Linked DNA regions of Sus scrofa. The protein of the gene in region 2 interacts with the protein of the main gene of each other region in a pairwise test. Links are inferred from orthologs where the notes say so. Each region holds a gene or a part of one and is shown on either strand. Other genes may lie near its edges.

Region 1 (4,119 bases), on a different chromosome or scaffold from region 2:
AATGTGTTAGAATATCACAAAGAAAATTATCTACAGATAAAATAATCTTAAATACTACAATACTACGACAATAATCTATATTACAATAAAATGTTAGCACTCCAACACAATTCCTAATCAGTTTGAGCTTCCGAAAGATAGAGCTTTTAGGAGTTCCTGCCGTTATGCAGTTAAGACTCCAGCTGCAGCAGCTCGGGTGGCTGAGGCGGCAAGGGTTTGATACCCAGCTGGGTGCAGTGGTTTAAAAGGATTTGGCATTGCCATGAAGGTCGGAGCTGTGGCTCGGATGCAATCCCTGGCCAGGGGCCTTCCATATGCTACAGATGCAGCCACAGAATTTTTAAAAAGATAGAGCTTTTAGTAAATAGATGTATAATTAATCAAACAATAAGGCACCCTCTCTCCCCATCCCCCACCGCCAAATAGAGTCTGGAGATTAAAAGCCACTATTCAGTGATAAAAATGATGAAAACAACTGTAAGAGCAATAGTCCCTCAGAAACAGCTGGTCTCTTAGCATATGAGAAGTTGACTTCACCCGTAGACAAAAGGCTCAGTGTAGTGTTACATTCCAGCCCACCTGCTGCACTTACAAAATCTGGCTCTGTTAGACAACATTTGAGAAATGTTAAATACAGGAAAAAGAGAACTCATATGCTTAAAATCAACAGACAAGAAAATATTTGTTTACAACAAATTTGCATTAAAAATAAATAAAAGGTGACAACAAATATGGAATCAATATCTTGGGTTTTTCTTTTCTCTTTCCATAGAGGCAGATTCATATCTCACTACACGTAAGATAGTTTTAACTCTTACCCACACTAAAGAACTTCAATTTAATAAAATTCATGCTAAGTACTTTATTTTTTATTTTATTTTTGTCTTTTTAGGGCCGCATCTGCAGCATATGGAGGTTCCCAGGCTAGGGTTGAATTAGAGCTATAGCCGCTGGCCTACACCACAGCAATTCAGGAACCAAGCCACATCTGCGACCTATACCACAGCTCACAGCATTGCCAGATCCTTAACCCACTGATTGAGGAGAAAGATCAAACCCACATCCTCCTGGGTACTAGTCGGGTTCCTTAACTGCTGAGCCACAATGGGAACTCCCATGTTAAGTACTTTAAATACTAAACATTTACATACATTTTGTATCCAAGTGACTTTTTAAAAATGACTTCAACTTCTTGTGACAGTCTCTTTTGAGAGCACTGAACCCTAAGTTTAGGAAAACATCCCACTCTAAGATTCTTTTCTTGCAAATCTTACCACTTCCAGAATTTTGCTAAACACCTCAAATAGCCAGAATATGGTCTGCAACTATTTCCAGCTAACTATACCTTGTCCTGACACAACTTTTAGGAGAGAAAAGGCAAATCCAAAAACAAGTTGACTTCAGGACTCTTTAAAAAAAAAAAAAAAAAAAAAATCCTGGTTTGTTTATTTAGCAGAACGCAAGAGACCAGAACAGGTCCTCGACCTGTTAAGTCTTAACTGGCAGGTCACCAAGCTGGCAGTGGTGGCACAGCCAGTCTTCCCAAGTTTCCTGGGATTTCCAGAGGGGGTTAAAGCAATAGTGGGAGGCCTTTCCTTGGTTTAGGGGCTTTTCTTTAAAATTCTCTTCCCTCACCGCTAATCTTTTAGCTTACCATCCTCACAACCCAAATCATAGCACTTCACTGAATTCAGTTTCTCCAGAAAATGAGGCATTCAGCCCACCTTTTCAAAATTATCTAAGGCACAACAGCCTATATAACGACAACAAATCATCATTGATGAGTAAGGCACAGCATTCTCTTCAACCTCTAAAGAAAAGATCCCAATGTATGTCATATCTTCTACCTACTAAAACAGAGAAGCATAGAAACACATTTTGGAAATATTTTTGCTTCAATTCCTGAAGGTGAAAGGTTTCTTACTTCCACTAATTAAAATTAACCCCAGAACCCAAGTATACCACTTAGCAATGAAGCTTTTACTGCGCCTTTATGTAAAAATTTTTTGCCAAGTTAAATATTCAGGATTTGTGTCCTATTCAGAAATTAGCTTCCACAGTATCGTCCACAAGGCCAGAATACAGACTGACTTAATAGCAAATGACCTTTTTGGAAGGAAAAAAACTAACCTTCAACTCCCCTTAGTTCACTGCCTAACATGCATAAACCTGTATGTCCTCCAAACAAGGGAGGAGGGGGACAGACTGTTCTTACCACTGCATCCCCTACACCTCCTAGCACGAAGCCTGGAAGCAGTGGGTTTTCAATAAATGCCTATAAACACTTTAGTCCTTTTAGTTGCGGCATTCCAAAACACTGGCTCCGCCCCTCCTGGTTCAGCCGCCGGTTCCCGATTCCAGCTCGCCTTGGCCTTGCTCTGGTGAAACGAAACCTCGTCGCTCAATGAGACCCAGGACAGGGGCAAGGAAGCCACCCGACCCCATTCCGCAGATTCTCTATTCACCCTGCCAGGGTGCTGGTCTTTCCCACGCGATCCCAGGAACCAACGTAGCCCGCCCGCAGATCAGAGGGGGCAAGAGCCCCCGCCCCACTCGGCGGACAGACAGCCTGGCGTCGGGACGCGGGGGACGCCTGCGCAGAACACGCCTCCCACCCGCCTTGGCCCCTCCGCTCTGAGGGTAACAATAACCCTCAGGAAAGACAGGCAGGGCAGACGCGGGGGGGCACCGGTACGCTTCGGCGCGCGCCCAGACACCTAGACAAGACCCTGATCGCGCCGCCCACCCAGCTCCCCCAGAGCTCAACTGTCTCCACGTGAGCGCGCCAGCGCGCGCCACCACCGCTCCCGCTGACAGAGTCGCCTCACCTGAGCCGGGCTCCGCCCCCCTTCTCGCTGGAGGAGGCGGTGACCCTTCTTCGATCCGACCCGACAGTGTGGCAGAAGACCGGAACGTCCAGGCTGGCTCCTCGGTGATGGGATTTCCTCCCTCTTCCGTCCACCCCGCCTCTTGTTGCCCAGCTCCTTCAACCCCTTCGCCGCGGCACTCTTGAGAACACCGCGGCGGCTGCACACAGTAAACGGAAGTGACGCAACGCGAGATCGCCTACTCCGCGGCATTTCTCGTCCCCTCCGGCAGGGGTGCAACCAATCAGAAGGGGAGAGGGCGGGGCCGGGACAGAAGTGCAGCCAGCCGGCGCGCGGTATCTGGAGGAATTTACTCGGCCCCCGGAACACTGACCAATCCGCGGTCCCAGGAGCCTCGCTGTGTTTACTACCGACAGAATCCGTGAGCTCTGTGACCAATCACCGTTTGCCTTACAACACATAAAACTGTTATCAAACGCCTTTGAAGGCGGGATTTATCACTAAGCGGTTCTAGATTTAGACTGTAGAAAAGCGACTGAGTGTGGAGGCCAATCCAGGCCCATTGTGGGTGAGACCAGCTGGTTTTCCTAATTCCACCAATCACAACCACGACTGCCTTTGGTCTGAGCCAGGGGTAAGGCGAGCCCGCGAGGTAGTGTGTGTCCCACCACTGGCTGGACTTGAAGGATTTCCCTACCTTCTCGGCGCCCGGCACTTCGGTGACCACCGGCTCCCTATGGGATGCGAATTTCCTTCGTGGGACCCACTCACGCACGGTGTCCGAGGTTGAGTTCCCATCTCGTAGACTTTGGAAGGAATAAAATATAATTTCAGGAAGCTATATAGGTTGAATTAAGACAAAATCCAAGCTAAAGATGTTGAACCAAAAATTCTGTTCATCTCACAGAAGTTGGGTCCGACGCAGCCCTACGTCCAATCTAGGTGCCAGCGTCTCGAAGCGCTGGTGCCTCCCGGCTCCCCACTGGCACTTTGCTCTGCATTACCTGCCGCAGGTCAAATAAGCCTGCAGTCTCCAGAACCAAACCTCTAAAGAACAGCATTGGGAATGTGGAAGGGTGGCGGACTTCGAAGTGACGCTCTCAGAAAAGAGTAAGCTCCGGGTGGCTTCCAGACCTCCAGGTGCACGCTCGGATGGAGAGGCCAAGCTCTGAGGGACACTGGCTGGAGGGCTTCCGAGGGCACCGGGCCCTGGGGCAGAAAGAAGCTCTCTTTCCCTGGGTGAAGAGGAGGCAAGGAAGCCTGGGAGGGGCCTTCCCCGACGGGAAGTGTA
Region 2 (3,511 bases):
GCGTACACAATGCCCTTGAAGTAGCGGTCCCCATTGCGGTAGAAACGTACCTTCTTGGCTTTCTTCTCGTTGCTCAGTGCCTGCAAGGTTCGGGTTCGGTAGAAGCTACAATGGGCGCTGTGAGTGGGGCTGGGCAGCCCATTCATCCGTGAGCCTCGCATGTTCCTGGATGTCTTATCTCTTTCGTCAAAATGTCCAAAATCAAGTTCCATATTTTGGTGGAACCTCAGAGACCTGAGTGTTGGAGAAAAGGGTGGGGATGAAAAAAAGCAAAGAAAAAGGGGTGAGGAGTGGAGGGGGGAGGGAGAAAGGAATTCAAATATTAGCCAGATCCAGATCTGCAATCTGCTGCTTGTGAAAAGAACTGGTTGAAAAAAGCCCGTGACCCATCTGCTGCTTGCCCCTGACCTGCAGGAATATTGATCTTAATAGAGAAGAAGGAGGGGCTGGGGGTGCTGGTGGCTGGGGGGTTGGGGTGAGCAATAGGGAGGGAGGCACTTTGGGCGCTGTTCCAAACAGAGGCGAGGGAGGGATTTTGAAATAGCTTAAAATCCTACTGACAGTGGCTCCTATCAAATTGTAACTTCAGGCTAAATACATTAAAACTGGCATCTGTTTCTTCACACATGCCCACATGACTAACAGTTGTAAATGAATCCATAGCCTGACAAAATTCTCCTTGAAGAGAACAGAAGGACCTAGCCAAGGTTAGCATCTCTGGCTGGGGAAGCAATCTTTGCACCTCAGTAAAATGACTAGGAAGGGGAATGTTTTAATTTTAATCCAAACCCTCTCTCCTGCTCTAATGTGTGCATCCCCTCCCCCCAGAATAAACTGGGATTCTCTTTTAAAGGGACAGCCTCTAGGGAATAGCCAGAGTCTTTGTGCTATTCATCAACCCTTTCCCCACCAAGCTGGTGCAGCTATCCAACATTCATAAGAAATAAGCTGGAAAAAAAGGATTAGAAAAATCAGTTATTTAGCAAATTATTAGTTCTGCTTCACCCCTGGTACCATTTGGTCACAAAATCTCCCTCCCCCACCTTTTCCTAGGTGGTCTACCTCCCCCCCCCCCCGCCGCCACTTCCACAATGATGCAGCCCCACCTCTTAATGGAATAATTTAATTGTTGAAAGATTCCCAAATGAGTCCCTGGACAGCATATGGGACCTTTAGAAGCAAGCACACCTTTCATTGTTCTGGGTTTCTATCCTGAATGAAGGGTCATTTTGCCCTCACAGCAGGAAATTCACCCCAAATTTGTCTATTTCCCAGGTGTGTTACTGAGGCAAAAGATGGTTGTCTATCAGATTTGATTTCCCCCTTTTTGCAGAAAGAAAGAAAGAAGGAAGGAAGGAATGAAGGAGGGAAAGGAAAGGAAAGGAAAGGAAAGGAAAGGAAAGGAAAGGAAAGGAAAGGAAAGGAAGAAAGAAAAGAAAAGAAAAGAAAAGAAAGAAAGAAAGAAAGAAAGAAAGAAAGAAAGAAAGAAAGAAAGAAAGAAAGAAAGAAAGAAAAGGTAGATAGATAGATCACACTATGAAACCAAATACAACAGAAGCCCCAAAGGCTAGCCAAGGTAGTGACAGCCTCGGAAACAAACTATTAACATGCATCACACAGATGGGGATAAAAGGACTCACAAAGCAAGCAGGGCTCAGCTGCTACACACTGCCACATTGAGATATTTGCAAGGGACCAGGAGGACAGGAGATAAAGGAGGACTGGTGCCTAGTAGATTTACCAGGCTCGGTCCCTCTAATCTTCCAATGTCACCATGACCTGTGCTGAGCTCAGCATTGTCTCTGTCAGACAACCTGCAGCGTAAAAGACCCCACCTCCTCAAGACAAGTAGCAAGCATTTCCCCGGACGAGCGAGCAACGCTGGGCTCTGCTTTAGAATCTGGGGTTGTATTATTCTAAATCGACATCACAGTGAAAACAAAGGAACATCAAACTCACTTTTCCAAAGCAAAATCCCAGGTAGAGGCTTAGGGAAAAACTCCGATAGAATAAGGGGGGAAAAAGGGTTGGGGGGTGGGGAGAGAGAGAGAGAGGGAGAGAGAACACACAGAGAGAAGGAGAGAGAGTGCTTTGCCTTGTGCTTTCCCGTTTGACATCTGTTACATTCTGCCTGAAAATCACTCGAAAGCCCCACTCACCGGTTTTCTGCTGGTTGGGTGGAGATGCTGAGAGAAAGAAAACCAATCTCTCTATGCCTTTGTTGTCTGAGCTCCAAGCAAGAAATTCCTGCCAGGGTGGATAGATGCCTTCTAGGTCCTAGTGCCTTGTCCAGCTTCTCCCCTATAACTCAGGCTTAGTGAATCCCCCCAACCTCCTTTGATTAATTACATGCTTTTCTTTCAATTCACAGGCTGCATTAATAGCTAGAAAGGTTTCATTTATAACCAACAGGAAATTGCAGGGTAGCAAAAAGATTGCACAGGCAAGTTCAGAATGCTACAACCAGCAATGTACTAGCCTTTTCTTTTAGGGAATTGGCAATTTCACTTGGCCAAAACCTTGGCTTCATCTGCCTGGGGGCTAGACTCAGACACTCGAACCAGGCTTCTTAGCAATGGTAGCTCTCTTCCTTTCACCTTCTTGAGAGAAGAACGACCAAATATGCAAATTCTTTAGGGCGTTTTAGTTCATGCATTCAACAACTGGTTCTTGTGAAATAAGGTTAGTGGAGTAGACTAAGAGGGAGTAGGAAAGAGACAAGGGAAAATCGTTCCAGAATTTCATGGAAGATGATGTTGAAGAAGGATCCCAAAGATCTCTTAGCTTGGTGTAGTAATTTTGTCAGTGGGATCTGCAGCATTTACCTTCAAGAGTCGAAGAGTTCAGATCTAACCTAGAGACATTTCCATGTGATGGCTACAAAACAGACATTAACAGCTATCAACTCAAACTGCCTATTTGTTACTAATTGGCTTCTTTATATCAAATATGTTATAAAGGAGGCAACCATATTGAATTCAAGAAAGCAGGCCAAACTATAAGACAAAAGAAAAGGTTGAGAAACTCCTGTGGGGGTGGCTACCATCTTCACAACTGAGGCTACATGCATTAATATGTAGCAACTTTGAACTATCATGGTGCCATTTTTGCTTGGCTTTCAGGAAGCTCAAAGCTAATAGCATGAACATGAATTATCTTCTATCCGATTCCTAGTATAATTAACCCTCCTTTTTAGATATAATGCTAGATGATTTATAGTTAAGCACTCGCTATGCTCATGTTTTACTGTAAGCTGCCTCAAAGTAGGATAAAAACATGATTTTTTTTCCTCTGGAAGGTGATGGCTTAGCAAAGTCTAAGCTATCTATGTTACTGGGGTGGTCAGTGTCAAGTGTGCAACCTGCGAAGTCAAGTTCTCCCAACATTTTGCTGCTCTCACGGTTTCTAAATGAGTACCTCAGGGGACAACATGTGCCTGCCCCATCTTCTTCATTTGTTTCTGCCCTACCTTGTGGCCACCTCTTGAAAATGCAAGGTTATTCAGGTCAAG

Evidence for each region.
Region 1: the proteins of DCX (region 2) and ZBTB5 interact in binary tests that used the Homo sapiens proteins (3 or more experiments, as listed by UniProt). The two-hybrid records come from large-scale screens. The link is inferred for Sus scrofa from reciprocal best matches to the Homo sapiens genes DCX and ZBTB5.

Annotation. Positions count from the first base shown.
Region 1 is NC_010443.5:238,174,406-238,178,524, forward strand, and holds the start of ZBTB5 (zinc finger and BTB domain-containing protein 5), read right to left. Parts: upstream 2,810-4,119; 5' UTR 2,224-2,809; coding exon 2,216-2,223; intron 2,209-2,215; exon of another isoform or gene 1-2,208. UniProt on the Homo sapiens protein: May be involved in transcriptional regulation.
Region 2 is NC_010461.5:91,442,068-91,445,578, forward strand, and holds part of DCX (neuronal migration protein doublecortin), read right to left. Parts: exon of another isoform or gene 2,160-3,511; intron 2,142-2,159; exon of another isoform or gene 1,960-2,141; intron 1,919-1,959; exon of another isoform or gene 1,641-1,918; intron 235-1,640; 5' UTR 213-234; coding exon 1-212. UniProt on the Homo sapiens protein: Microtubule-associated protein required for initial steps of neuronal dispersion and cortex lamination during cerebral cortex development. May act by competing with the putative neuronal protein kinase DCLK1 in binding to a target protein.